2 linked regions of the Lonchura striata genome follow. The protein of the gene in region 2 purifies or fractionates together with the protein of the main gene of each other region. This does not show direct contact. Links are inferred from orthologs where the notes say so. Each region holds a gene or a part of one and is shown on either strand. Other genes may lie near its edges.

Region 1 (15,628 bases), on a different chromosome or scaffold from region 2:
CACACCTGAGGGCACCTGGGGGCACCTGGGGACACCTGGGGGCACCTGGGGACACCTGAGGGCACCTGGGGGCAGCTGGGGGCACCTGGGGACACCTGGGGGCACCTAGGACAGAGCTGGTGGCACACGTGGCCATGGGGCACACCTAGAGATGTTCATGGGGTCCTCCTCCTCCTGGCAGTTCAGGTCCTGCGGGATGGGGACACCTGGGCACACCTGGGCACACCTGGGGGCACCTGGGCACACCTGAGGGCACCTTGAGACACCTGGGGACACCTGGGGGCACCTAGGACAGAGCTGGTGGCACACGTGGCCATGGGGCACACCTAGAGATGTTCATGGGGTCCTCCTCCTCCTGGCAGTTCAGGTCCTGCGGGATGGGGACACACCTGAGGGCACCTGGGCACACCTGGGGGCACACCTGGGCACATTTGGGTCACCCCTGGGCACATCTGGGGCACCCCTGGGCACACCTGGGGCACACCCGGGTACATTTGGGGACACCTGGGCACACCTGGGGGCACACCTGGGGGCACACCTGGGGGCACACCTGGGCATCCCTGGGCACACCTGGGGCACACCCGGGTACATTTGGGTCACCCCTGGGCACACCTGGGTACATTTGGGGACACCTGGGCACCCCTGGGTCACCCCTGGGCACACCTGGGTACACCTGGGGGCACACCTAGGCACACCTGGACATACTGGGGGCACACCTGGTCACCCCTGGGTACACCTGGGTACACCTGGTCACCCCTGGTCACCCCTGGGCACACCTGGGCACCCCTGGGCACACCTGGGCACAGCTGTCCCTACCTCCTTGCTGGTGATGAAGGTCATGAAGACGTCGTCGCTCACGGTCGTCGTGGCCACGTTGGGCCCGGGGGCGTCGAACTCGGAATTCCCAAATTTCTTCCAGTTCTGGGAGAGGGGAAATCCCAAAATCCCGGGAAATTCCGAAATGCGCCCGTGGGAACGCCTCGGTCCCGATCCCGTCTCCCAGGGAAATCCAATTTATTCCCGTTTTTCCCCAGGTTAATCCCATTTATTTTCCAAGTAAATCCCATTTTCCAGGTAAATCCCATTTATTTTCCAGGTAAATCCCATTTTCCAGGTAAATCCCATTTTCCAGGTAAATCCCAATTTTTCCCATTTATTGCCCAGGTAAATCTCATTTATTTCCCAGGTAAATCCCATTTTTTTCCCATTTTTCCAGGTAAATCCCATTTCCAGGTAAACCCCATTTTTTCATTTTTTCCCAGGTAAATCCCGTTTTCCCCAGGTAAATCCCATTTTATCCCAGGTAAATCCAATTTTTCCCAGGTAAATTCCATTTTTTCCCATTTTTTTCCAGGTAAATCCCATTTTTCCCAGGTAAATCCCATTTTCTCCAGGTAAATCCAATTTATTCCCATTTTTCCCCAGGTAAATCCCATTTTTTTCATAGGTGGATCCCATTTCCCATTTCCAGGTAAATGCCATTTTTTTCCCATTTTTTCCAGGTAAATGCCATTTTTTCCCTTTTCCCCAGGTAAATCCCATTTTCCAGGTAAATCCCATTCTTTCCCTATTTTTTCCCAGGTAAATCCCATTTTTCCCAGGTAAATCCCATTTTTTCCCTTTTCCCCAGGTAAATCCCATTTTTCCCCAGGTAAATCTCATTCTTTTCCCATTTTTCCCCAGGTAAATCCCATTTTTTCTCTATTTTTTCCCAGGTAAATCCCATTTTTCCAGGAAAATCCCATTTTCCCCTGACCTTGCGCCGGGCCACGGCCTTGGAGGCTTTGCGGGTCTCGATCCGGAACGTTCGGATGATCTGGGAAAAACGCGGGAATGGGGCCGGGAAATCCCAAAAACCCCAAACCTGGGGCCCTCAGGGGACAAATTCGGGAATTCCCGGAGCACCTGAGCCCAAAAAACCCAAATTTGGGAATTCCTGGAGCACCTGAGCCCAAAAAACCCAAATTTGGGAATTCCCGGAGCACCTGAGCCCAAAAAACCCAAATTTGGGAATTCTTGGAGCACCTGAGCCCAAAAACCCAAATTTGGGAATTCCTGGAGCACCTGAGCCCAAAAAACCCAAATTTGGGAATTCCTGGAGGACCTGACCCCAAAAAACCCAAATTTGGGAATTCCTGGAGGACCTCAGCCCAAAAAACCCAAATTTGGGAATTCCTGGAGCACCTGAGCCCAAAAACCCAAATTTGGGAATTCCTGGAGGACCTCAGCCCAAAAAACCCAAATTTGGGAATTCTTGGAGCACCTGACCCCGAAAAACCCAAATTTGGGAATTCCTGGAGGACCTGAGCCCCAAAAACCCAAATTTGGGGCTCAGGTGCCGAATTTGGGGTCCAGAGGCGCCAAATTTGGGGTCCAGAGGTGCCGAATTTGGGGCTCAGGTGCCGAATTTGGGGCTCAGAGGTGCCAAAATTTGGGTTCAGCTGCCACATTTGTGGCTCAGGTGCCACCTGTGCCCACCTGTGCCCACCTGTGCCCCCGTGCCCACCTTGACCTTGCGCCCGTCCTCCTCCTCGCGGTACTCGGTGATGGTTTTGATGTTGCCGTTGACGACCTCCTTGGGGGACGGGAGGGGCCCTGGGGGGGACAGGTGTGCCCAGGTGAGCCCAGGTGTGCCCCCAGGGCTCCCCAGGTGTGCCCAGGTGTGTCCCTCCCATCCAGGTGTGCCCAGGTGTGCCCCCAGGGCTCCCCAGGTGTGCCCAGGTGAGTCCCTCCCATCCAGGTGTGCCCAGGTGAGTTCCTCCCATCCAGGTGTATCCCCAGGTGTGTCCCTCCCATCCAGGTGTGTGCCCAGGTGTGTCACTCCCATCCAGGTGTGCCCAGGTGTGTCCCTCCCATCCAGGTGTGCCCAGGTGTGTGCCCAGGTGTGTCCCTCCCATCCAGGTGTGCCCAGGTGTGTGCGTCCCATCCAGGTGTGCCCAGGTGTGCCCCCAGGGCTCCCCAGGTGCCCCCAGGTGTGTCCCTCCCATCCAGGTGTACCCCCAGGTGTGTCCCTCCCATCCAGGTGTGCCCAGGTGTGCCCCCAGGGCTCCCCAGGTGCCCCCAGGTGTGTCCCTCCCATCCAGGTGTATCCCCAGGTGCCCCCAGGTGTGTCCCTCCCCTCCAGGTGTGTGCCCAGGTGTGTCCCTCCCCTCCAGGTGTGTGCCCAGATGTGTCCCTCCCATCCAGGTGTGTGCCCAGGTGTGTGCCCAGGTGTGTCCCTCCCATCCAGGTGTGCCCAGGTGTGTCCCTCCCCTCCAGGTGTGTGCCCAGGTGTGTCCCTCCCATCCAGCTGTGCCCAGGTGTGTCACTCCCATCCAGGTGTGCCCAGGTGTGTGCCCAGGTGTGTCCCCAGGTGTGTCCCTCCCATCCAGGTGTGTGCCCAGGTGTGTACCCAGGTGTGTCCCTCCCATCCAGGTGTGTGCCCAGGTGTGTGCCCAGGTGTGTCCCTCCCATCCAGCTGTGCCCAGGTGTGTCCCTCCCATCCAGGTGTGCCCAGGTGTGTGCCCAGGTGTGTCCCCAGGTGTGTCCCTCCCATCCAGGTGTGTGCCCAGGTGTGTCCCTCCCATCCAGGTGTGTCCCCAGGTGTGTCCCTCCCCTCCAGGTGTGCCAGCGGTGCCAGCGGTGCCCTCTCACCTCCCTTGAGCAGCTCGGCCTCGGCGCTGGAGGCGCCCCCCAGGACCCCGGGCAGGGGCAGATCCTTCAGCAGCTCGCTGGTGATCACCTTGTCTGGACAGGTAAGGGGGCTCAGGTGGGCACCGGGCACGGTGACCTCACCTGGGCACAGGTAACCTCACCTGGGCTCACCCGGGCACAGGGAGCTCACCTGGTCACAGGTAACCTCACCTGGGCTCACCCGGGCACAGGGAGCTCACCTGGGGCACAGGTAACCTCACCTGGGCTCACCTGGGGCACAGGTAACCTCACCTGGGCACAGGTAACCTCACCTGAGCTCACCCGGGCACAGGTGACCCCTCTCACCTGGACCAGTCCCCCCAGCCCCTGGCACAGCTCTTTGTCCCCAAGGACACAGGTGCCACCCCGACAGGTGTGCCAGGTTTGACAGACGTGCCAGGTGCCACAGGTATCACAGGTGTGCCAGGTGCCACAGGTGTGCCAGGTATGACAGGTGTGCCAGGCATGCCAGGTGCCACAGGTGTGACAGATACCTTGAGTGCCACCCCCCAGAGATGTCCCAGGTGGCATCCGTGCCAGGTGTGCCCTGCCAGGTGTGCTGGTGCCAGCCCCACAGGTGTGCCAGGTACCACAGGTGTGACCGGTGCCACCCCCCACAGGTGTGCCAGGTGTCACAGGTGTGCCAGGTACCACAGGTGTGACCGGTGCCACAGGTGTGCCAGGTGTCACAGGTGTGACGGTGCCACCCCCCACAGGTGTGCCAGGTGTCACAGGTGTGCCAGGTACCACAGGTGTGACCGGTGCCACAGGTGTGCCAGGTGTCACAGGTGTGACGGTGCCACCCCCCACAGGTGTGCCAGATGTCACAGGTGTGCCAGGTACCACAGGTGTGACCGGTGCCACAGGTGTGCCAGGTGTCACAGGTGTGACGGTGCCACCCCCCACAGGTGTGCCAGATGTCACAGGTGTGCCAGTGCCACCCCCCACAGGTGTGACAAGTGTCACAGGTGTGACTGGTGCCACCCCCACAGGTGTGCCAGGTGTCACAGGTGTGCCAGGTGTCACAGGTGTGCCAGGTGCCACCCCCACAGGTGTGCCAGGTGTCACAGGTGTGCCAGGTGCCACTCACCATCCTCTCCTCCCTCCTCCTCCACCTGGTCAGCCCAGCTGGGCTTGGAGCTGTGGGGACACAACGGCCTCGGCTGGCACCTGTGCCACCCTTGGGTGCCCCTGTCCCCTCCTGTGCCACCCCCGTGTCCCTGTGCCAACCCAGTGCCACCCTTGGGTGCCCCTGTCCCCACCTGTGCCACCCTTGGGTGCCCCTGTCCCCTCCTGTGCCACCCCCGTGTCCCTGTGCCACCCCGGTGCCACCCTTGGGTGCCCCTGTCCCCTCCTGTGCCACCCTGGCTGTCACCTGTGCCACCCTTGGGTGCCCCTGTCCCCTCCTGTGCCACCCCGGTGCCACCCTTGGGTGCCCCTGTCCCCACCTGTGCCACCCTTGGGTGCCCCTGTCCCCTCCTGTGCCACCCCCATGTCCCTGTGCCACCCCGGTGCCACCCTTGGGTGCCCCTGTCCCCTCCGGTGCCACCCTTGGGTGCCCCTGTCCCCTCCTGTGCCACCCCCGTGTCCCTGTGCCACCCCGGTGCCACCCTTGGGTGTCCCTGTCCCCTCCTGTGCCACCCTGGCTGTCACCTGTGCCACCCTTGGGTGCCCCTGTCCCCACCTGTGCCACCCTTGGGTGCCCCTGTCCCCACCTGTGCCACCCTTGGGTGTCCCTGTCCCCTCTGTCGCCTCCCCCTCACGGCCCCGGCCCTGCCCGAAGCCCCCAGGACCCCCCGGGACCCTCCCGGGACCCCCCCGCAGGCCCCGTGCCCGGTTCCCGGTGCCGGCCGTCACTCCCGGTTCCCGCTCCCGGTTCCCGCTCCCGGTTCCCGGTGCCGGCCGTCACTCCCGGTTCCCATTCCCGATCCCGGTTCCCGATCCCAATTCCCAGTCCCGTTTCCAGCTGTCACTCCCGGTTCCCGTTCCCGGTCCCCATTCCCGTCCCCGTTCCCACTCCCGGTTCTCGGTCCCACCTCCCAATTCCCACTCCCGTTCCCGGTCCCAATTCCCAGTCCCGTTCCCGGTCCCAATTCCCAGTCCCGTTCCCGGTCCCCACTCCCGGTTCCCATTCCCAAGCCCGGTTCCCGATCCCAACTCCTGATCCCGGTTCCGATTCCCACTGCCGGTTCCAATCCCGGTCCCGGTTCACGATCCCAGATCCCGATCCCGGTTACGGTTCCCGATTCCCGATCCCAATCCCGATTCCTGTTCCCGGTTCCGATTCGCACTCCCGGTTCCGGTCCCGGTCCCCATTCCCGTTCCCCGTTCCCGGTTCCCGCTCCTCAATCCCCGCCCCCGTTCCCGGTTCCCGTTCCCGTCCCCGCTCCCCCTCACTCGTAGTCCCCGGCCGGCATCGCCTCCGCCTCCCTCACGCCGCCACACCGGAAAGGCCGCGCGGCACTTCCGGCCCCCCGCGCGCCACTTCCGGCGGGGCAGGGCGGGAAGCGCCAAGCGCCACTTCCGGCCCGCGCGCGTCACTTCCGGCGGGGCAGGGCGGGAAGCGGTTGCCGAGCAACGGCGCCATGGCGGCCGCGGCCTGCTCGGAGCGCGGGGCGAGAGTTGGTTATAACTTATAGGCGCGATTTATTTGAAGAAATATTACAACATATAAAAACTACATAAAGTATCGAGTTCCACCTTGTACAAAGCGGCCGCGGGGGGGTTCGGTACAATGCGATAAAAACGGGGCAGCGGGGCCGGGCCCTGAGGGGGGGAAGGGGAGGTTGGAGCAGCACAGAGAGAGTGGAGGGAGAGGAATTAAAATAAAAAGAAACAAAGAGAAACGAAAGGCGGATTGGGGAAATTAAAAGCGTTTTAGAAAGGAGGAGATGAAAAGCCAGAAAAAAAAATCTAGGAATTAAAAAAAGGGAAAAGGAAGAAAAAATGAAGAGGAAAATAAGGGGTTAAAAAAATCTTTAAAAAGAGGAGAAAAAAGGAAAATAAAGAGGAAAAAGGGGAAAGAAAAAAAGGGATAGAAAGAAGGGGGAAAAACAAGGGAGGGAAGAAAGAGAACAAACAAGAAAAAATAGGGAAAAAAAATGAGAGAAAAGGAGGAAAAAAAAAAAAGAAAAAAGGGGAAATAAATCAAAAAAGGGGAAAAAAGGGAAAAAAGACCAAAAGGCAACTGAAAGCAGAGGCGAAGGCGAAGCAGCCCCGGAGCCGAGGCCCCCCCGGCCCCCCCGGCTCCGGCCGGGCTCAGGCGGCCGCTCCCGACGGCTCCGGAGGCACCAGGACCGCGGCGAGACCTGCGGGACACGGGGACACTGAGGGGACATGGGGACACTGAGGGGACATGGGGACACCCAGGGGACACAGGGACACCCAGGGGACACAGGGACACCCAGGGGACAGGGACAGTGAGGGGACACTGGGACAGTGAGGGGACACGGGGATGGTGAGGGGACACCCAGGGGACACCCAGGGGACACCCAGGGGACAGGGATGGTGAGGGGACATGGGGACACCCAGGGGACACAGGGACACCCAGGGGACAGGGACAGTGAGGGGACACTGGGACAGTGAGGGGACACGGGGACAGTGAGGGGACACGGGGATGGTGAGGGGACACCCAGGGGACACCCAGGGGACAGGGACAGTGAGGGGACAGAGGGGACACCCAGGGGACACAGGGACACCCAGGGGACACCCGGGGACACCCAGGGGACAGGGATGGTGAGGGGACACAGGGACACCCAGGGGACAGTAGGGACACCATGGGGACACAATGGGATGGTCACTGAGCTGTCACTCAGTGGTCACCCGGGGTCACTCAGGGTCACTCATTGGTCACTCTGGTCACTCAGGGTCACTCATGGTCACTCTGGTCACTCATTGGTCACTCTGGTCACTCAGAGTCACTCAGCGGTCACTCATTGGTCACTCTGGTCACTCAGGGTCACTCAGGGTCACTCAGGGTCACTCAGTGGTCACTCTGGTCACTCAGGGTCACTCAGGGTCACTCAGGGTCACTCAGTGGTCACTCTGGTCACTCAGGGTCACTCAGGGTCACTCAGGGTCACTCAGGGTCACTCATTGGTCACTCTGGTCACTCAGGGTCACTCAGGGTCACTCAGGGTCACTCAGTGGTCACTCTGGTCACTCAGCAGTCACTCAGTGGTCACTCTTGTCACTCTGGTCACTCATTGGTCACTCTGGTCACTCAGGGTCACTCAGTGGTCACTCTGGTCACTCAGTGGTCACTCAGGGTCACTCAGGGTCACTCAGTGGTCACTCTGGTCACTCAGCAGTCACTCAGTGGTCACTCAGTGGTCACTCATTGGTCACTCAGGGTCACTCAGGGTCACTCAGTGGTCACTCTGGTCACTCAGCAGTCACTCAGTGGTCACTCAGTGGTCACTCATTGGTCACTCAGGGTCACTCATTGGTCACTCAGGGTCACTCTGGTCACTCAGGGTCACTCACCGGCCGTGTCCTGGCGCGCTTTGGCCACAGCGCAGGCCTTGATCTCCAGCCCGATGGCCTTGGCCAGGGGAGGCGGCACCGCATTGCCCACCTGGGGACAGACGGACAGACAGAGGGACATGGGGACAGGGGACAGACAGAGGGACAGACAGAGGGACATGGGGACAGACAGAGGGACATGGGGACAGGGGACAGACAGAGGGACAGACAGAGGGACATGGGGACAGACAGAGGGACAGGGGACAGACAGAGGGACAGACAGAGGGACAGGGGACAGACAGAGGGACATGGGACAGACAGAGGGACAGACAGAGGGACATGGGGACAGACAGAGGGACATGGGGACAGGGGACAGACAGAGGGCCATGGGGATGAGGGACAGACAGAGGGACAGACAGAGGGACATGGGACAGACAGAGGGACAGACAGAGGGACAGACAGAGGGACAGACAGAGGGACAGGGGACAGACAGAGGGACAGACAGAGGGACATGGGGACAGACAGAGGGACATGGGGACAGGGGACAGACAGAGGGACATGGGGATGAGGGACAGACAGAGAGACATGGGACAGGGGACAGGGGACAGACAAAGGGACAGACAGAGGGACAGACAGAAGGACAGAGGGACATGGGACATGGGGACAGGGGGACAGGGGGACATTGGGACAAAGTGAAAAGAGGACATTGGGACAAAGGGACAAACGGACAATGGACAATGGGACAATGGAAGAAGGGACAAAGTGACAAAGGGACAATGGGACAATGGGACAATGGACAATTGGACAATGGACAAAGGGACAATGGACAATGGGACAATGGGACAATGGGACAATGGGACAATGGGACAATGGACAATGGGACAATGGACAATTGGACAATGGACAAAGGGACAATGGACAAAGGGACAATGGACAATGGGACAAAAGGACAATAGGACAAAGGGACAAGAGGACAATGGAGAATGGGACAAAGTGACAAAGGGACAAGAAGTCGGTGCCCAAAGGGACAAAGGGGACAAGGGGACACCGTGTCGGTGCCACCGCGGTGCCGGTGCCACCCACCTGTCTGTGCTTGTCCAGGATGTTCCCGAAGAGCCGGAAGGTGTCGGGGAAGCCCTGGGAGCGAGCGCACTCGCGCACGCTGACCACGCGGTGCTGCTCGGGGTGCAGCACGCGGCCCTGCAACGGCACCAACCCGACGGGGTGGCCACCATGGACCACCAAACCCAACGTGGTGGCCACCACACCAACGTTCTGGCCACCACTGACCGCCAAACCCAACGGGGTGGGCACCACAGACCACCAAACCCAACGGGGTGGCCACCACACCAACGTTCTGGCCACCACTGACCGCCAAACCCAACGGGGTGGGCACCACGGACCACCAAACCCAACGGGGTGGGCACCACACCAACGTTCTGGCCACCACTGACCGCCAAACCCAACGGGGTGGGCACCACACCAACGTTCTGGCCACCACTGACCACCAAACCAAACGTGGTGGCCACCACTGACCGCCAAACCCAACGTGGTGGCCACCATGGACCACCAAACCCAACGTGGTGGCCACTGGAGACCATCACACCCAATGTGGTGGCCACCACACCAACATGCTGGCCACCACGGAGCGCCAACCCACCAACATGGTGGGCACCATGCATCACTAACCCAACGTGGTGGCCACCATCACTGAGCGCCAACCCAACGTGCTGGCCACCACGGTGCGCCAAACCCAATGTGCTGGCCACCACTGACCACCAACACAACATGCTGGCCACCACTGACCACCACATCAACATGGTGGCCACTAAAAACCACCACACCCAACGTGGTGGCCACCAGAGACCACCACACCAACATGGTGGACATTGGAGAACATCACACCCAACATGGTGGATGCTGGAGATCACCACACCCAACATGGTGGCCACTGGAGACCACCACACCCAATGTGGTGACCACCAGAGACCACCGCACCCAACGTGGTGGCCACTGGAGACCATCACACCCAACATGGTGGCCACCACTGACCACCACACCCAACGTGGTGGCCATTGGAGACCATCAAACCCAACCACGGGGCCACGGTGGCCATCGGTCGCCACCAAGCAACCCGCCCAACCGTTGGGACACCGACGACCGTTGGCCACCATCGAAGGCTGGGGCGCGGTGGCCACCGGTGACCCCCACCAACACCCCCCGCCGGCCGTGCCCGCGGCCCCCCGCCCCCACCTGCTTGCCCATGGGCTCGGGGTTGGTGACGGTGGTGCTGAAGAAGCCGTCCCACTCCAGGCGCCCGTAGAGGCCGGCCCAGTGGTTGTGCCGGTTGCCGGTGTGCGGGAGGCACCACGGGATGAGGGTGTTGAACTGCCGGTCGGCCGGGTCGCACGGCTTCCCTGGGAAACACCAAAACACCACCAAAAACCAAACCCCGGGAATTTCCGGGAGAACGGCCGCGCCCGCCGGGCCGGGGACGTGTTTCCGGAGGTCCACCACCCACCTTCGGCGCAGGAGCAGACGCCGCGCAGGGCGCCGGCGCTGCTGCGGCCGTTCTTGCGCTCGTGGTGGGTGTAGCGCAGCTTGCGGGTGGTGGTGCCGTCCGAGAGCCGCACCTCGATGTTGGGCAGGTCCCGCCAGTCGGAGCCGGGCGCCAGCGGGATGTGCCGCATCCGCGCCGCCACCAGCGCGCTCATGTCCTGCCGCCGCCGGCGACAACGGGCCGCGTTGGGCACCGCCGCCGGGGCCCGCGACGTCCAGCGCTCCCAAAGCCAGCATTCCCAAAATCCCCACCATTCCCAAAACCACCATTCCCAAAATCCCCACCACCAAAACCACCATTCCCAAAATCCCCACCGGTCCCAATTCCAGCATTCCCAAAATTCCCACCACCAAAACCATCGTTCCCAAAATCCCCACCGTTCCCAAATCCAGCATTCCCAAAATCCCCACCGGTCCCAAAGCCAGCATTCCCAAAATCCCCACCACCAAAACCACCGTTCCCAAAATCCCCACCACTACCAAAACCACCGTTCCCAAAATCCCCACCGTTCCCAAAACCACCATTCCCAAAATCCCCACCACCAAAACCACCGTTCCCAAAATCCCCACCGTTCCCAAATCCAGCATTCCCAAAATCCCCACCGCTCCCAAATCCAGCACTCCCAAAATCCCCACCGCTCCCAAATCCAGCATTCCCAAAATCCCCACCGGTCCCAAAACCACCATTCCCAAAATCCCCACCACCAAAACCACCGTTCCCAAAATCCCCACCGGTCCCAAATCCAGCACTCCCAAAATCCCCACCACCAAAACCACCGTTCCCAAAGTCCCCACCATTCCCAAATCCAGCATTCCCAAAATCCCCACCACTACCAAAACCACCGTTCCCAATGCCTCCACCATCCCCAAATTCACCATTCCCAGCACCTCCACCATTCCCAAATTCACCATTCCCAAAATCCCCACCATTCCCAAATCCACCATTCCCAACACTTCCACCATTCCCAACACCTCCACCATTCCCAAAATCTCCACCATTCCCAGCACTTCCACCATTCCCAAATCCGCCATTCCCAAATCCACCATTCCCGGTACCTCCCCCATTCCCAAATCCGCCATTCCCAAATCCACCATTCCCAGCACCTCCCCCATTCCCAAATCCACCATTCCCAAAGCCCCACCATTCCCGGCACCTCGCCCATTCCCAAATCCGCCATTCCCAAACCTCCACCATTCCCAGCACCTCGCCCATTCCCAAATCCACCATTCCCAGCACCTCGCCCATTCCCAAATCCGCCATTCCCAAAGCCCCACCATTCCCGGCAGTTCCCAGCAGCTCCCCCATCCCGGATTTGGGCGGCTCCGGCGGGATCCGGCGGCTCCGGGTGCCGTTCCCACCTTGCAGATGTGATCCCTGAGGATGGGCTGGTACTGGGAGCCGCGGATCTGGCGCTGGAACCACGACTGGGGCTCGCCGTTGTAGGAGATCTCCAGCGCCGAGGCGCCGTTCCGGATCTCCGGCAGGTCCGACATCGTGTCCCGCACCGTGATGGTGCGGAACGGGCCCGAGTACGTCCTGCGGGCACGGGATTCCCAACTCGCCATTCCCAACGCGGAATTCCCAACGCGGCATTCCCAACTCGCAATTCCCATCTCAGAATTCCTGACTCGCAATTCCCAACTCGCAATTCCCATCTCAGAATTCCCGACTTGCAATTCCCAATTTGCAATTCCCAATGCGGAATTCCCAACTCACAATTCCCAAATTGGAATTCCCAATGCGGAATTCCCAACTCGCAATTCCCAATTTGGAATTCCCGACTCAGAATTCCCAACGTGGAACTCCTGACTCAGAATTCCCAACTCACAATTCCCAATGCGGAATTCCCAACACGGAATTCCCAACTCGCAATTCCCAATTTGGAATTCCCGACTCAGAATTCCCAACGTGGAACTCCCGACTCAGAATTCCCAACTCACAATTCCCAATGCGGAATTCCCAACTCACAATTCCCAATTTGGAATTCCCGACTCGGAATTCCCAACGTGGAACTCCCGACTCAGAATTCCCAACTCGCAATTCCCAATGCAGAATTCCCAACTCGCAATTCCCAATTTGGAATTCCCAACGTGGAACTCCTGACTCAGAATTCCCAACTCACAATTCCCAACTCGCAATTCCCAATGCGGAATTCCCAACTCGCAATTCCCAATTTGGAATTCCCGACTCAGAATTCCCAACTCACAATTCCCAATGCGGAATTCCCAACGTGGAACTCCCGACTCGGAATTCCCAACTTGCAACTCCTAACACGGAATTCCCAACACAGAACTCCCAACGCTGAACTCCCAACTTGGAATTCCCAACTTGGAACTCCCAATTCAGAATTCCCAACTCCCAATTCCCAACTGAGAATTCCCAACTCGGAACTCCCGACTCAGAATTTCCAACTTGGAATTCCCAATGCGGAATTCCTATCTTGAAACTCACAACTCAAATTCCGAACTCGGAATTCCCAAACCAGAATCCCCAAGTGCTGAATTCCCAAAGCGGAATCCCTGAGTGCCGAATTCCCAAACCGGAATCCCCGAGTGCCAAATTCCCAAACCAGAATTCCTGAGTGCCAAATTCCCAGACTGGAATCCCCGAGTGCCGAATTCCCAAACTGGAATCCCCGAGTGCCGAATTCCCAAACCAGAATCTCCAAGTCTCCAAACTCCCAAACCAGAATTTCCAAGTGCCGAATTCCCAAACCGGAATCCCCGAGTGCCGAATTCCCAAACCGGAATCCCTGAGTGCCGAATTCCCAGACTGGAATCCCTGAGTGCCGAATTCCCAAACCAGAATCTCCAAGTCTCCAAACTCCCAAACCAGAATTTCCAAGTGCCGAATTCCCAAAACAGAATTTCCAAGTGCCGAATTCCCAAAGCAGAATCCCCAAGTGCCGAATTCCCAAACCAGAATCCCCGAGTGCGAAATTCCCAAACCAGAATCCCTGAGTGCCAAATTCCCAAACCAAAATCCCTGAGTGCCAAATTCCCAAACCAAAATCCCCGAGTGCCGAGCTGCCAAACCGGAATCGCCGAGTGCCGGATTCCCGGCATCCCCGATGCCGAACCGGGATTCCCGCCCGGCATTCCGGGCTCTCACCGGGTGATGTTGCTGACGAACTTCTTGTCGTCCACCACGACGCTGAGCTGGCAGGCGCGGGGGGCGAAGACGTGCAGGGGCTCGGGGAACATGGGCAGCTTCTCGCCCGGCGCCGCCGCCAGCACGATGGCGCGGCGCCGCGTCTGCGCCACGCCGTACTGCCCGGCCTGCGGGCACAGCCCCGCTGGCACCACACCCAGCCGGGCACGGGCCCACCCCGCCCCGGGGACACAGCCCACCCCGCCCCGGGGACACAGCCCACCCCGGGGACACAGCCCACCCCAGGGACACACCCTGCCCCGGGGACACAGCCCACCCCAGGGACACAGCCCACCCTGGGGACACAGCCCGCCCCGGGGACACAGCCCACCCAAGGGACCCACCCTGCCCCGGGGACACAGCCCACCCAAGGGACCCACCCTGCCCCGGGGACACAGCCCACCCAAGGGACACACCCTGCCCCGGGGACACAGCCCACCCAAGGGACCCACCCTGCCCCGGGGACACAGCCCACCCAAGGGACACACCCTGCCCCGGGGACACAGCCCACCCAAGGGACACACCCCGCCCCGGGGACACAGCCCACCCAAGGGACACACCCTGCCCCGGGGACACAGCCCACCCCGGGGACACAGCCCACCCAAGGGACACAGCCCGCCCCGGGGACACAGCCCACCCCGGGGACACAGCCCACCCCGGGGACACAGCCCACCCAAGGGGACACAGCCCACCCAAGGGACACACCCCGCCCCGGGGACACAGCCCACCCAAGGGACACACCCCGCCCCGGGGGACACAGCCCACCCAAGGGACACACCCTGCCCCGGGGACACAGCCCACCCAAGGGACACACCCCACCCCGGGGACACAGCCCACCCAAGGGACACACCCTGCCCCAGGGACACAGCCCACCCCGGGGACACAACCCCGCCCCGGGGACACAGCCCGCCCCGGGGACACAGCCCACCCAAGGGACACAGCCCACCCCAGGGACACAGCCCACCCAAGGGACACACCCCGCCCCGGGGACACAGCCCACCCAAGGGACACAGCCCGCCCCGGGGACACAGCCCACCCAAGGGACACAGCCCACCCAAGGGACACAGCCCACCCAAGGGACACACCCCGCCCCGGGGGACACAGCCCGCCCCGGGGACACAGCCCACCCAAGGGACGGGGTGGGAATGGTTCCAGAGCCACCCCGGGGACACAGCCCACCCCAAGGGACACACCCCGCCCCGGGGACACAGCCCGCCCCGGGGACACAGCCCACCCCGGGGACACAGCCCACCCAAGGGACACAGCCCACCCCAGGGACGGGGTGGGAATGGTTCCAGAGCCACCCCGGGGACACAGCCCACCCCGGGGACACAGCCCACCCCGGGGGACACAGCCCACCCCGGGGGACACAGCCCGCCCCGGGGACACAGCCCACCCCGGGGACACAGCCCACCCCGGGGGACACAGCCCGCCCCAGGGACACAGCCCACCCCGGGGACACAGCCCACCCCGGGGACACAGCCCACCCCGGGGGACCCACCCTGCCCCGGGGACACAGCCCACCCAAGGGACCCACCCCGCCCCGGGGACACAGCCCACCCAAGGGACCCACCCCGCCCCGGGGACACAGCCCACCCAAGGGACGGGGTGGGGATGGTCCCAGGGCCACCCCAGGGGACACAACCCCACCCCAGGGGACACACCCCCACCCAAGGGACGGGGTGGGAATGGTTCCAGAGCCACCCCAGGGGACAATTCCTGAGGGACAGGGTGGGATTGGAGAACCTGTCCCCTCTGGGAATGTCTGCAGGGCCACCCCAG
Region 2 (15,728 bases):
AAAAAGCTTTAAGTGCAGTCAATGCCAGTGAGAAGTGGACAAGATAAAAGACACAGAACACAAGTGAAGACATATACAGATTTTCACAGCTCTGGCAGAGCTCTCCCATGCAAGCAATGCATGAGCTTTCAAAAGTGGTCAGAGCAAATGGCTGAAGCTTAGCTGGTCCTGAGTACAGGCTTAAGACTCTGTGTTTTATTTAATATTTTTAGGTACTTGTTGAGAAGCAGTTATCAGTTATGAAAGAGATTACTGTGGGAAACCCATGACTAGTAACTCTCCTTTGATTCATGTGTTCTCATTAGTAGGTCTTTTGAAGAATATATTGCATAGCCTTTTGTGCAACAGCCCTGTGCAGAGTCCACAGATGTAGGCAGACAGATCTCCCCAACGCCAATAATATCACCCAAAGGTCTCTCAGGAGGTATACTGAGATAGGTTAGAATCAGTATGGGAAACACAACATTTTGCAGATCTGGAGCACGATAAGTAAACAGGCAAAAAACAGGTGAATCTGCCACAGCCCAAAGTCAGCTACAAAGCTGCCTTTAAGACCTTTGCTCGGGCAAAAGGAGTCCTGAGTCTCACTCTATAGCAGGTTTGTGCTGGCTCTCAAGCAACTTGGCCAGCAGGCTGAGACTTGGCAGCCCACCACTACTTTTCCTGATTCCCTGCTGCTCCAGGATGTGAGTGAGCTGTGAGCAATCTGGCTGCACCCATCCCAGCATATGCCTCCTGAGCACCAGAGCTAGCACAGAGCTGGACAAGGTGCAGGGGATAAGCTGTTCACCCTCCTGCCCATCCAAATGTTTTTCAGGGTGCAGAACTCAGTAGCTCAGGACTCTCTGCAAAGGAACTCAGTGGGATTCCATCATAGCTGTGAGAGAAGAAATTTCAGCCTTTATCTGTATGACTCAGCTGTTTACTGTAAGTCTCTGTGGGAGCAGCAGTGACACTGAGATTCACAATTCATTGTCTATAAAATAAAAAGAAGTTTTATCAACTGTCTACCAGTAAACATCCTTCAGAGCACATAGACCCACACAGAGATTTACCGTCAAAGCAGATAGACTAAACTATCAAAACCACTTGTACCAGTACTTCTTGTCTCAGTGCACCAGGGAAAAAAAAACAACCAAACAAGCAGGGAAAGTAAAGGCTTTCTTTAGCCACATTAGGTTCAACGAATCAAAAGAACTGGATATCTGATTACAAAATTAAACTTTTATAAGCATATGTCTTTGAAGACAGAAGTATTATAGCCATAATCAGGGGTAAGTGCACAAAGCCAGTACCAGGAATGATGCCTCAGAAGTAAAGTCTCTGAGTTAAACCAGCACATTATCCACTGGTATAAAATGCTGCATCCCCACAGACTTGAATGAGCTCACACATATTTACACATGACCTTCAAGATCCCACCTGCATCCACACACCCTTCCTAACTTGAGAGTATTCATCCATCATCTGGTCATCCATTAATCTGTCAAACATCTCTGCTGGTTTCAGCTGGGGTAGAGTTAATTTGCTTCACAAGGGCTGGTACAAGGATAGGTTTTAGATGTGCAAACAATCAGAAATTAGAGGAGCTGTGTATTTATTACACATTTCTGAATAAGTCATGCCAAATATCTAGGACAAACAATACATTAAGTCCTAAAGAACCCTTTGAAAGCTTTTTGTCTGCTGGAGGCAACAATGAAAAAGTAACATGATAGAAAGGGAACAGTAAATCATTAATGATAATGATTAAAAACTAACTATGGGTGAGATGCAGCAAGTAATACTGAAAACAGCCAGAATATTTTTTGAGTATCTCATCTTTTAGAGGTTGGAGTGGTTGTGAGGAACTTTAGGAAGACCTACTTTGTGTCCTTTATTGCAAATAAGACACAGAAGATACAAAATCCATTGAGAACTATACAACAACATGTTGCAGTTTATTCAGATGTTGCATGTCTACATCAGGCACTGAAGCCAAATTGCTACTGGACTTTAAATTACTTGTGCAAATAAGGCTTAAGAAAAAGGCATCTTAAGGACACTGGTGAAATAAGTATAAATTAGACTAAGTGCCAAATAATGCATTATACATGTGATCTCACTTACATGCACCCAATCATTTTGGAATCCTAAAATCAAGTTCTGAAAAAATTACAGTGTCAAAATGTTCACAGCTACCACATAATGTAATTCAGTTGTGGGTGCCACAGTTTTCCAAATGAGTGTGGTAGCCACAAATCATGATATCATTAGCATTTATTTTAGATCCCTTCAACTCTATGAAAAGGCCTGTTTCAGGAAAGCTTGTATCCTGAGACTATCCCAAGTAAAAAGCTCAAAAACAACCACTAAGATTGGTTAAGATTTTTTTTCTTCAGATAAACCCCTTGAGCTTCAAGGGAAAATTCACTCTACATTATGCTTTTGAGCCTGCACTGGCCCAACTCTTTGTCTTAAGACTTTTGAAAAACTGACTTTGGAAATAACTCAATGCAGTAAAATCCTTCTAAAAATGTTTTCCCTTCAGTGCCTCCTGGGTCATTCTCAAAAACAGAGGTCTACATTAGGTCAATAAAATCATGCTAGACGTTACAGTCAACACTATGTATGACCCAGATTCATATTCAAGGATATTTTTAGCCTCATTTCTTAAACAACCAAGATTTATGCAATGGTGGTGAGTGTGTTTGTGTGTGAGTATGCACCTACCTGTGTCCTCATCACCATTTACCTGTTCCTGAACCCCCTGCATATTTCCAAACACACTGGCATTCACAGGAAGAGACATTATTAGAGCTCCAAGTCAGCTTTTATTAGGTGTCCAAGAATCCCCACCGGCCAAAACCAGACTTAATTTATTACAGCAGTCCTGGAAAACATGTGTGTTATTAGCTGTTTTAATATTGCTACTAGTCTGTGTAATACCCTAAGCATGCCTAACACTTGGCATATGCAAACCATAGGACAAAGATTTTGCCTCTATTTTCCTATTTAAGTACCACTCCCCCTGCTTTGTTTTGTAGTTTGGCAAACAATTTATTTTAGTAATATAAATATTTGAGCTGCAAACCACCGAAGCATTCAAAGCCTTTGGCACTGCAAGGTAGTCATGTATTATTTGCTTCATTACAAAAGGTAATCCCTGTGTTTTTATTAAGAAGCTGGCACCAGCTGTAATCAAGCTGCTGGTTAAACATACCAAACAACCAGCAAATTCTCAGCCATTATGTACAAATTCAACATTATCCTCTAGGACCTGTAGTTCCCTGAAAAATACCTTCAACATCACAAGAGAAGAAACTCTTAGGAATTTAAAATCAGACTTAGGAGAAGAAAATATTTTCTGTGATGTGTCTGCCTGTTTCCAAATGCACAGCACCAGCCAAGCAGCACCTTCAAAGGTTTTGTTTTGGAGAACATAAAATTTTCCTTTGCCTTCAAAACTGGCTTTTCCTTTGTTTTCAGCCCAAGCATCTGGGATGCCATATCCTCTTCCTAGAGCTGCCAGCAGAAGCACAAACTTAACTCCTAAGTGGGCCTCAGTACTGCCTCCAAAGCTCAGCTCTCCCAGCAATGCCCTTGTATTTTTCTACAGCAAAGAAACTCCTCCTTGCTCAGATGGGCAGAAGAAATGAGCAAAACCTGCTGCACCCAGCAGGGCAGACCCCGAGAAACAAGATCAGCAGCCACATTTTGGCTCACAAGAGAAGGGCTGTGAGAGCACTTAAGATCTCCAGGGTGTCCCCAGTCTGGGAGGAGGTTTGGAGATAGGCTCTCAATACCAGGGGCTACCACATTTTCCCTTAGGAAAAGTAAAAATCTAAAAGGTAACTCTAAGTACTCATTACTCTTTTTTACTACTTAGAATTAAATCTGCTGGGAAATCTATAGTGATAATCACAGTACTGGTTGCCAGACCACCAGAAGCCAATGAAAAGGGATGAAGGGGGATTAATCTGTGGAGGTGATGGCAAAGCACGACAGCTGCAGAGGGCCTGAGCAATTTCTTTAGGGAAATAGAAGTGCAGATTGCTAAAATGGCACTGGAAGAGAGATTTAACTAAACACACAGGCAGATCTTCATGTCTGAAGCTTGACTATGATAAGAAGCAGAGAAATGTAAATGCAGTGGTTACTAATGGGCATTATGAGCAGACAGGCAGCTTTGACAGCATGTTCTCAGCTGGAAGCTGTACTCCCAGGGACTCTTATCTTCCACATCCACTTCTTTCAGCAACCATATAAATGTAGCAGGCAGATTTGCCAACCACAGCATGCAACTGCTGGATAATGGTAGTGGTTGCCAATAAGGCCCATAGCCAAAACTGATGCCTAGACAAACTGAGAAAACCAGGCTTCCCTGATTCCTATCACCAGCATTTCCACTTTCTGGTGAGACACACAGAGAAAAGACAGGTTTCCAAGGCAGAGACTTCACTGCTATCAAACACTGGTTTGTATTCTGAAGAGAAGCTGATTGCCTCTCCTTGCTGTGGTGACTCCCTTGTGTAGGGACATACACTGGAAGAGAAAGAGGGAGGGTACAGGAAACCTCACTAGTGAGAAGACCAGATCTAGGGCAGGGCTCAGGCTGTCAGCTGACACTGAACCCAGACCCAAAACACTAGCTGGGAGATTCTAGTATTTCTGCATGGTAATAGAAGCAACAAAAATGACTTCCATTAATAATGGCTCTGTGTGTGCAACATCACACACTTACTTTCATGTTTTTCTCTGTTTACTAATTCCTGGAAAGAAAAGCATTTCATAAAGTGAACCTCCCCAAGACGGCCAGTGAGGTGCTGGACAGAAATTACTCTGAAGCTCCTGAACAGTAAAACCAGAATTAACCTCTGCCCTTGTGAATGATCAATGTCTAGCGTCAATCCTGATGGATTTCGGACCCACCCTTCCCTAAATGTTAGCTATTCCAACTGACATGTAAATAATTAAACTTTCTCTACACACTGCCAAGATAGGAAGAAGAAAGGCTATTGCTGTTCCACATAACTATAGATAAGCTTGGCCCTCCTTCCATCTCCTGAAATTACAGCCAAAGCCAGCATGAGGAGGAATCCCTTACTCAGGTGCTAACGTTCCTGCCTGCACTGCATGAAATAAGAGCTCTGACCCAGCCTCTGGGAGAAAACACACGCAGCAGAGACAAAACATTCTTCAAGGCCAAGGTTACCAAGAGGGCACTGAATTAGGGTTATGTTTGCAGCCAGCCACACCACTGAGAGAGGACAAGCTCGCTGAATAAACCACAGAGGGACATCAGGTTATCAATCGGGGATTTAAAGGACACATTGTAACTGTTCAGTTGACAAACCTAATTCTGAAAATGTTAAATATGTTAAGAATTTCAATAGAGTTTTGATTTTGCTGCATTGTCACAGTCATTGATTCTTGGTTATTTCTAATAAAAACCAGCTAAGGCAACATGGAACAAACTTGGTTTGTTCAAGGCTGAACTCAGCAATAATAAAGCATTTCTATGACAAGGAGAAGCACCCTAAATTCAACTGTGGAAATTTTCCTATTCTTAGACGTGAAACCATTTGGAAAACCTGACTTACTAATGTAATTTAAAATGTCATATCTACAAAAGTATGTATAAAACCTGCATAGTTTCTGTCAATAAAACACAAAGTACACAAACAGTCTGTATTTTGAAGGTCACACAAGCAATGTGTACTATGAACTTTGGGATTCATGAAATTGTGACATTTTAAAGTGGGAGGAGAGAAAATATTTTTCTGTCTTGTCCATATTGTGAAATATTAAAATGAACAAACTGTAAATATTAAGATTCAGTAAAAAATATTTTGAATCTAACATTTAATATTAATTAATTTTCTGCTGAGGAAAAAAATCAACAACTAGGCACCATGAAGTCAATAATCCATAATTTTGGTCTGATTTGCATGATCCAGGAGAATGTCATGTGGCTTCACGTGGATAAGACCTGCTTTTTGCAGAAGAAACACCATCTTAAAAGTACCTCTTTAATTTTTGTCAATTTATATACTATATTTAAAAACTATCTTCCTTTGTGCTATTAATTGTAAGGGTTCAGAGTTATTCATAATATCAAATAGTACCAAATCCTGGGTCTCTTTCCCAGCAGTTCTCTAAGTGGTGTTGGCAACAGTATACTTTAACACTTGTAATTTATTAACCCCCTAGGTGTTGTAATAGGGAGCTAAAGCCACAGTCAGGAGGCATTTAGCAAGTTATATGTGCTACATAGTTTCACAGCAAAGGATTTTCTGCGGTGCTTTTCTTGCCTCACACTTTTTTATTACTTTTTTCCTCTCCTGGTAACTGCCAAGCCCTACATACTTTGGAGATGCTTCCTTATTTTGCCCTAACATACTCTCTCCCATTTCAGAAAGTGTTGCCGTGCATTTATCAAGAAGACATTTTACATATCCTGAAGAATGTTTACCTTTTTCAAATGCTGATAGTGAAGTCCAAGACAAACTTACATGATGGACCCTGCATCCCCAGAGGTGCCCAAGGCCAGGTTGGATGTGTCTGGTCTGGTGGATGGTGTTCCTGCCCATGGTGAGGGGTTAGCACTAGATGATCTTTAAGGTCCCTTCCAACCCAAACCATTCCATGATTCTTTACAGGACAGTGTCCTGGCTAGAACGACCAGCTATTCCACGTACTGAAAGGAGACATGTAGGAGGGGCAGCTAACACAATGAGGGTTTTGATAGAAAGCACCAAGATGTGCGCATTTATCTCGGGTTGCTTTTTCATTGTTGCTGTATGCTACTGGAAGTGGCAGTAGTCCTGCTTTTGTGACTTGCAAGAAAACATCATTTATCAGCCACCTTCCTGAGTGCAGTTCTTCTGCATATTCGACCAAAAATGTTCAATATGTACTTCAAGGTTCAACAGGAGTGATGTCTCCTTTGACCACATCTACGTGATATCGAAGTCAGGCAGGAAAACTACACATTAAAACCAACTTTAGGCAGGCAGAGATTTAGAGCATTATTTAATGTCACTACTAGTTTTATTGTCATTCCCTCTCTTTTCCTCTACTCCCACAGAGCCATCAAGAAGCTGGCTGCCCACTCAGTTCATAAAGTCAGGGAAAAATTCTTTGCCACCTGAACATTATTGACACTGTAAAATCCCCAAAACATATAACTCCTGTGATACTGGAGGAGCGTAGATGGAAGATGGGAAAGAACGAGAAATGGAAAAAAGGATGCAAGTTTTCTGCTTTTTATGTGAAAATAAATCAAGATATGCATTTCATTCAGGATCTCAATTCAGCTACATAGGGCTGGCAACATTTTCCACTAAGAATAGAGTACATGCTTACGGCACTTGTGTCATTCTTTGTAAGGCACCCAGAGCCACCCAACGCTGAGCCTTTATGACACGGGAATTAAACAACAGGCTCTTCCCCAACCCCACAAGCCGGCTGTGCAGGAAAAACACAACTTATTCAGCAACTTAATTGCTTTGAATTCTTTGTATTATTACTTGTAACATAGTTGCTGAGATGTCAAGCGCTGGGTCACTGCCCTCCAGGGAGTAGCTCGCCCCCCACCCACGGGCAGAGTTTGGGCACACCTGGCAGGACGGAGGGGCCGGGGGAAGCTGGGAGCGCCCTCAGCCCCGGGGAGCGCCCTCAGCCCCGGGGAGCGCCCTCAGCCCCCTCAGCCCCTCAGCCCCGGGGAGCGCCCTCAGCCCCCTCAGCCCCCTCAGCCCCGGCCCCGCCGCACCGGCCCGGCCTCGGCCCCCCCCGCCCCGCGCTCTCTCGCGAGACTCGGTCGCTGTAGACGCGATGTCCTTTGGGGCACTGGCGAGGGGGAGGACACGGGGGAGGGAGGCAAAGCCTTGATTGATAGCGGCGTTCACCAATAGGCGAGGGGAGCGGCGAGGTTTTAGCCAATAGCTTCACAGCGAGGGGAGCGGTGAGCCAATGGCGACGGTGGGGGGCGGGGCGCAGCGCTGGCTGATTGATCCCAGCTCTGGCGTTGTTCAGTCGGAGCGAGAACATTCTAGAGGTGAGTACGGGGCAGCCATTGCCGGGTCCCGTTCGCCGGCCCCTGCTGCCTCAGCTGCGCGCCTCTCGCCGCCTCTCCCTCCCCCCTTCCCTCTTCTCCCCCCTCCTCTTCCCTCTCCCTCGCAGGTGCCGCCGCTAACGATGCTCCTGATTGTATCTTGCCCGCAGATTGCCCGGCGCCGCTCTCCCTGGTGATACCGCCCGCCCCAGGACGCCGGGACCCGGAGGCTGCGGCGTCCGCCTCCGCCTCCCTCTCCGTCTGGATATAAGCGCCCCCTCGGCCCTGTTCTCCTCTCACAATCGGCTTCGTCGCAGCCCGGGGCGAGCAGCGTTGGGTTTATGTCTTTATTGGACGAAAACGGTGAGTGCTAATAGTGGGCTAGTGCGGGTGAGGGCAGCGGGGTAAGGGGAGCGGGGGCCGGCGGGTGGTTGGGGCCGGGCTGGGGCCTCAGGCTGCCGGTGAACGGTGGAGATTCGCAGAGGTTTTGTGTAACGAAGCGTCCGGGACTTTGACGGGAGGGGGAGGAGAAGCAACGCGGGGCGGGGGAGCAAACAACATAAAACCGCACAACAAAACTCAACTCTGAAAGCAGTAAACCTTCATCTGTGGGGTTATTGTTTGCTGTTGGGGCGGGGGCGAGGGCGAGGATTTTTTTTTTTTTTTTTAATTTATATTCGTTTCGCCGCCGCCATGCGACGAGACAAGATGGCGGCGGCGGGGCCGCGCCTCCCGCGCTGTGCCCGGGGGGGGCAGTGGCGCAGTTCCCACCGGGCGCGGGGGGGGGCGCTCGGCCCCGCTCCCGGGGGGCGGCGGGGGCTCCCCCGTGCCGTGCGGGGCGCATGCGCGGCCGGCGGCGGCTCCCGGCGCTGAGTCAGCGTTTAATTGCTGCATTTATGAGTCACCGGCGGCGGGGCGGGGGCGCGGCGCTGTGCGGCAGGGAGCCGGTGTGCCTTCCCGCTCTGTCCTCCGTGCGCGGCGAGGGGGGGTGGTGCTTGGGATGAGGTGGTGTGGGCACCAGGAGAGGGAGCTGCAGCCTGCAGCGGATCAGTGCTGCGCTCTGGAAGGGGGGGAAAACGGTACGCTCCTTCTGGGAGCTCGGCCACCGAGAGAGCTGCTTCCTCGGCATTTCTAAAGACACGTGGTCAGGTTACACCGCGGCTCTTTTTAGACATCCTGGGGAAGGAAATAGTGTGTTGTAAACGGAGTCCTAGCGGTGTGGTTTTTGCTGAGGAAGGGTAAAATTGTATCAGGGCTAATGTAGAAGACAAGGCACATAGAGATCTATGTTCTTATTGTGTAAAGAAGTTGTAAACGTGACCAGAGGACTCGGATCATGTTGCACCATAGGCACGCTCTTCCACATAAATACTAAGAAAGCTTTTTTAATGTGTCAACGCTTCTGTCATTAACGATAACAACGTGATGACGTGTCAGAATAGCCATGCTCTGTAATCAGGGTTGCCTGTGTACTCAACCAATTGTGGCTTAAGTACCATTAGATCTGATTATAGAAGCACGTGTTAATTTAAATATGTAAATACTGCTCAAGGCAACGTTAATAATAGGATTCATCCTCCTTCCCCTTCCTCCCCCCCTCCCTTTCCCCCAAGAAAAAATCAACTGGAAAAGCTGCTGCACTGCTCTGTACCTCTGCATTGCTAGGCTTTCTACAGTGAAGCAACTTCTGTCAGATTTTATCAGGCTTATTGTTAAGTCAGAACTCAACAGAAGCTGCTATGAGAATCCATAAGTGAGAGAGAGAATTACGTAATTTTCAACTCTTTTCCACTCCGATTCAAAAACTGGTAAGCCATGTAGAAACTGTTGGGCTACAGATTGCTGCTGCTTCATCTTACTTATATTTTGCAACATTTTGGCAGACTTCAGTTTGTGATAGGTTCATGATGTGGAATTTGAAATGGATTTCCAAATATTTCTCCTGATTTCCTGTGCCCTTCAGCCTGAAACTGTACCACGTGACCCTTATGGCGCAAGTCACTGGTCTGCATAATCGAGGCGTGTGCCCTTCCTTAGTCATCCCAGAACTCCTGCTGGAATTAATTGTATAAAAAAGTAGTTGTAAGCTGTTCAGTGGTTTTAGGGCAGTAAGAGAGGGTGGAAAGCTTGGTGGTGCAGTTAAAGAAAAGTTCCTTAGCAGTACAAGCCAAGGATGGATTTCAGTTCCATAGGTTGAAGAAAGCCATAGCATAAGAAATGTACTTTTCCCTTTATTCACCTTAAATATCATGCATTATATAGCTTTGTGGCAAGAGTGGATTGATGTACATGAATCTAAACTTAATTTTTTTGTGTGTTGTTAACACTTGCAGAGCTGTTGCGCAGCCACTGGTACCTGTATTGGGGAAACATAGCATACAAGCAAGAACCTTACAGCCTCAGTGGCGAAAATTTTTTCATGTCAGAGACCGAGAACTCTTGCAGTCGTTTATGTCATCCCGTCTTCTCCAGACAGAAGATACCAAAAAACTGCAATCAAAGATCTCTTCATCTTATTGATAAAGCTACTAATAAGGCAAAATGTCTGTCAACGTCAACCGCAGTGTTTCAGATCAGTTCTATCGCTACAAAATGCCCCGTCTGATTGCCAAGGTAACTTCCTAAGCAGCAGCTGGAAGCAAAGCAGGGAGTGTTCTCCCATAACTGGTTTTCCCAGGGTGGGAAAGAGAGGCCAGGATAATGCTTGGTCACTCAGAGCAGGGAGGATGTGCCCTCCTCCGGTCCACACTAAGTGCATGTTAGTCTTGGAAGGAGTTGCACTTCAAAGCGGAATTTTGGTGTAGTTAAATGGAAATGCACACTGGGTTTGGCTGTTGCAAACATTTGACCTTAAAATATTATTTTTTTTCTGTAGGTGGAGGGCAAAGGAAATGGAATAAAGACGGTTATAGTCAACATGGTTGACGTTGCAAAGGCGCTTAATCGGCCTCCAACGTGTAAGTATTGTGGAATGACACAGCATTTTGTAATGCTTTTCTGTTTGAAGTGGTAGTGTGAATTGGCTAGTAAAGCATTAATACTGTTCCTTAAAGATTTGTAGGAAAAAAACATGATTATCTCAGGATTAAAGAATGGACAGAAACAGTAGCCTCTACTTGCTCTTTAAGAATCAGAACAAAGATATGAATGTGGTAATGGCTGTAATTCTTCCTTTACAGATCCTACCAAATTTTTTGGTTGTGAGCTGGGAGCACAGACCCAGTTTGATGTTAAGAATGACCGTTACATTGTCAATGGATCTCATGAGGCGAATAAGCTGCAAGACATGTTGGATGGATTCATTAAAAAATTTGTTCTCTGTCCTGAGTGTGAGAATCCTGAAACTGATCTGGTGAGTGCTCTGTCTGCATTAACAATGACACCATGGAAACACTGTGTTAGGTGTTTATGAAAGCGGTGCAAAGTTAAGAGACTTCAGTATCTATGAACAGAAATTAAAGTACACATTTTTGCACCTTTTGGGAAGGTTTTGCATCTCTAACAGTTCATAACTTCTGGGATAAATTATTACTTCTAAACTTTGTCTTTAGAGGGTGATACTAAAGTATTTGAACCTCTGGCTTAAAATGTAGACATCAGGCTTTAATGCAGTTGTTCTGTAAGTAGTAAATTAACTGGAGGTTGTTCTCTTTACAGCATGTCAATCCTAAGAAACAAACTATAGGTAACTCTTGCAAAGCCTGTGGCTATCGAGGCATGCTTGACACAAACCATAAACTCTGCACGTTCATTCTCAAAAACCCACCTGGTAAGTGCCTTTCCTTACCTCTGGGGATAAAGAGAACTGTATTAGTGGTGTTATGGAAGTAGAAAAATAAATAGCTCACATTTAATTGAAATGTAAAAAGGCACCAGCATACTCCTAGAGTGTTTTTGGGGATCAAGATTGAAGGAGCCATACTGGTAATGTTTTTTTTCCTTACAATGTGTTCTTCTCAAGTGTAGCAATTGGTTAAAAGCTGGATTTGCCTGTGCAGGACAAAACTTACAAGAAAGGAAGGTAGTTAGCTTTAGGTCAGCATGAAATGTGAGAGCAGGAAGTAAAAAACTGTAGTAAATGCAAACTGTAATCTGTGCAAGCAACACTCTGTAGTAAGCATCTAGTTGCCTGCTGCAATTTAAGCTTGCTAGAATAGAAAAGTCTAACCTATTCCAGGGGTCTCTGCTTTGTGAGGTTACCTGTTATATAGACTTGGACAGTCTTGGTGACAAGCAAGACTGGCTGCAGCTGGGGGTTTCCCCACCAAATGTACATCTTCCCTGAGTGTGTTTGGGGATGGGTACTACCCATAACTTGCAGCTAATGACAGCATCCAAACCCACTTGGGGATTTGGCAAAGGTGCAGGGACTTTCTAGTTTGCTCTAGTTCATAGAACAAAACATTAAAATTCACTTGCAGAAAGTGGTGACACTGGTACAGGAAAGAAAGAAAAGGAGAAGAAGAACAGAAAAGGCAAGGACAAAGAGAATGGTTCTGTGTCCAGCAATGAGACACTTCCACCCCCACCACCAGAGGAGATTACTCCTCCACAGGTTGTGGTAAGTAGAAGGGAAAGTGGGGAGATGAGGGTGTGTGTTATGTTGCTCAGATTTAAATCTCTGAAGTCACTGGCATTCCTTGCTGGTCAACATTGCACCTAAAAGTCTTACTTTATCCAAAACTTAGTGCCGGAATAGAAGGGTCCCTGATTTTACTCTATAGCATCTTTATCAGCTCATCAGTACCAGAATTTATGCTCCTTACTAAGTCAAAGCTGCCTATCCTTTATCACTCCTTTTCAGGCACCTGTGTACTAGGTAGAATGGTTGAACTGCAGTTCAGGTAGCCCTGCATATGGCTATAGAATTAGGTTTAGCTACCATTACTTCCTATATTTGCACTTTCACCGTGATCGTTGACTTGGAAATTTTATTCCAAACATTTCTTAAGGCTGTCAAGTCTGTATTATTTCTATCCTCATGTCATACTAAGCTTGCAGTAATATTTTGTGGCACTCTTGTTTTGGTTTTGTATTGTAGGAGGAGGAGGATGATGATGACTGGGGTGAGGACACAACAGAAGAAGCCCAGAGGCGTAGAATGGATGAAATCAGTGACCATGCGAAAAACCTCACACTTAGTGAAGACCTGGAAAGAACTATAGAGGAGAGAGTCAACTTACTGTTTGATTTTGTAAAGGTAACTACTCTCTGGTTGTTGGCTTGATGTAATCGCTCGGCTGTAATTGTACAACATGTTTGTGAGGAAACCAAAAGCAACTTGCTCGAGCTCCTGCAGAGTGCTGTCTCTACCAGCAGTGGGAAGGGATGACTGCGAAGAGCATGAATGCAGACCTCAAGTGGCATTAAAATGTTTCTATACCTGTTTCCCTCTAGAAAAAGAAGGAAGAAGGTGTCATTGATACTTCTGACAAAGACATTGTAGCAGAAGCAGAGAGACTGGATGTAAAGGCTATGGGCCCACTTGTTCTCACTGAAGTCCTTTTTGATGAAAAGATTCGTGAACAAATCAGAAAATACAGACGTCACTTCCTTCGTGTAAGCCATCTCTTCTGCACTCACTGTGACAACTGTTGGCAGGTTTTTGTAGCAGTTGCTTGGTACTATGGGGAAGGACTTTTTGTAGTGTTTTATTTTTAAACTTCTTGGCTAGGGGGAGCTGCTGGGAAGGGATAATATGAATTACTGTAAACTTTGCAATCTCATAGAACTGCTTCTGCTCTGTTCAGTGTGGAGAGAGGGTAAAAAAGCTCATTCAATCACTTCTGCTTCTATCACAATTCTAGTTCTGCCACAACAACAAGAAAGCTCAGAGGTACCTTCTCCATGGCTTTGAGTGTGTGGTAGCTATGCATCAGTCTCAGCTTATTTCAAAAATACCACATATTTTGAAGGAAATGTATGACGCAGATCTTCTGGAAGAAGAAGTCATCCTTGGCTGGGCAGAAAAGGTAAAGGACAGTTTGTAATGTACTGTAGCAATTAAATACCTGAAGGTAGCTTAGTGCATCTGGCTTCTCCATTCCTGGTGTAACTTGTGGACCAAGAGGCCTCCTTCACAAAAATGGGCTGTGGAAGGCAGTGGGTGAGATCAGAGTTCCAGTTCAGGCAGTATTTGGGTACAATCTGGTGTAAGCTCCTTCACTGTTCACTCAAAGTATCTGTCTTTCAGGCCTCAAAGAAATACGTTTCAAAGGACCTTGCCAAAGAAATCCGTGTCAAAGCAGAACCATTTATTAAATGGCTAAAGGAAGCTGAAGAAGAATCTTCCGGTAATGAAGAAGAGGATGAAGATGAAAACATAGAGGTAGGAAAGGCTTGCTTACTGTCAGCAGCTCCAAGGCTGCTCTGTTCCTGCATGCTGAAGTCTTGTAACCTTGTCCTGGTGCACTCTGAAATTGATTACTTGGGGTATTAGTGTGCATGTTGGGAACAGGAGGAACACTCAGTTTACAGTGCCTTTTAAGTGCTGCTAATTGGTGTCAACGATATCTACATGATATCAGTGTAATGCAGTTGCACCTGGGTAGTCCAAGACCGTGCCATTCTACAGTGGCAGTAGCAGTTCACGTAGTGCAAGGTTGACAGGGGGTATCAAGCATCGTGTCTCATGTTGTAGATGAGTTTGTTAGATAAGCTGATGGAAGAATAACTGACCATTTTCCTCACAGTTCAGCCCTGGGTGTAATCTGTTGGTTACACTCCAGCTGGCTGTGGCTGGGAGTGTTTTTACACAGGGATTGGTTGGTTGGTCTCCTCCCAGCATTGTATTATTCTCCTCCTGAGTAGGAGATGCTGCTTCCCCCAGATGTACACGCACAGTTCTGCCCTACAAAGCAGGGATTCATGAATGGCCATGGGCAGGAGGGTGGTTGGGTGTTGGAATTACTCCAGTGCTTAGTGGCAGTAGGTGCTGTAGTTAAAGGAAGTGTCTTGTCTCCACAGGTGGTGTACTCCACAACTGCCAGTGTACCTAAAGTTGAAACTGTGAAGCCTGCAAACAATAAAGATGATGATATCGATATTGATGCCATTTAAAGTGATGCAACATAGCTTCCAGCATAGTAATGCAAACTTCTCTGCATTTTCTGCCAGAAGTGTGACTTGTATGTGCACAAGCTGAAATGGCTTAACATCCTGCTACTTTGTACTCTAAAAAATGTATCTTTTTACTGTGACTGGTCTTGTGTAACTAAGCCTAATACCAAGGAGTCAGCACGTCGGTGAACTGATCGAGTTTGCAACTGGCATGTTCTATTTTGTTTTTCTAACTTGTGTTGGACACATACTTGGAGCACATTTATACAGTTGTGGAAATAAAGGATTTGGTTTTGGTCAATCTTCATTTGTGATTCAACCCCCTTATTGCTTTTCCAAGTAAGTATTTACACAGCTCAGCGAAATTTGTGAAGCTGATCACACAATGACAATCTCTTGAATGAAACAAAATCCCACCTTAACCACCCTAGAAGCTGTTCCAACAGTGGAGATTTGAAACCTGGGCAAGAAGCACGTGTTGGGTAATCAACAGTGTGCAGCTGCCAGCTTCTTAAAGCAGGACAGCTGTGTCTGTATTCTGATCTTTGGATGCTTGGAGTGTTTTAAACAAACTTCAATTGTAATCATACATGAGTTGGGTTTTGTCTTGGGTTTTTCCTTTCCTGTGGTTTTC

Evidence for each region.
Region 1: the proteins of EIF5 (region 2) and EIF3G purify together in Homo sapiens (affinity purification with western blotting; 3 studies listed by BioGRID and IntAct, with this or other methods). This does not show direct contact. The link is inferred for Lonchura striata from reciprocal best matches to the Homo sapiens genes EIF5 and EIF3G.

What each region holds. Positions count from the first base shown.
Region 1 is NC_134623.1:1,631,543-1,647,170, reverse strand, and holds the start of EIF3G (eukaryotic translation initiation factor 3 subunit G), read right to left. Parts: upstream 6,162-15,628; 5' UTR 6,090-6,161; coding exon 6,070-6,089; intron 4,813-6,069; coding exon 4,763-4,812; intron 3,727-4,762; coding exon 3,634-3,726; intron 2,596-3,633; coding exon 2,507-2,595; intron 1,817-2,506; coding exon 1,757-1,816; intron 922-1,756; coding exon 817-921; intron 1-816. UniProt on the Homo sapiens protein: RNA-binding component of the eukaryotic translation initiation factor 3 (eIF-3) complex, which is required for several steps in the initiation of protein synthesis.
Region 2 is NC_134608.1:10,224,885-10,240,612, reverse strand, and holds EIF5 (eukaryotic translation initiation factor 5), read left to right. Parts: upstream 1-7,963; 5' UTR 7,964-8,038; intron 8,039-8,205; 5' UTR 8,206-8,398; intron 8,399-9,653; exon of another isoform or gene 9,654-9,843; intron 9,844-10,368; 5' UTR 10,369-10,576; coding exon 10,577-10,648; intron 10,649-10,910; coding exon 10,911-10,992; intron 10,993-11,214; coding exon 11,215-11,387; intron 11,388-11,692; coding exon 11,693-11,804; intron 11,805-12,133; exon of another isoform or gene 12,134-12,257; intron 12,258-12,456; coding exon 12,457-12,596; intron 12,597-13,076; coding exon 13,077-13,235; intron 13,236-13,432; coding exon 13,433-13,594; intron 13,595-13,842; coding exon 13,843-14,007; intron 14,008-14,228; coding exon 14,229-14,363; intron 14,364-15,001; coding exon 15,002-15,094; 3' UTR 15,095-15,401; downstream 15,402-15,728.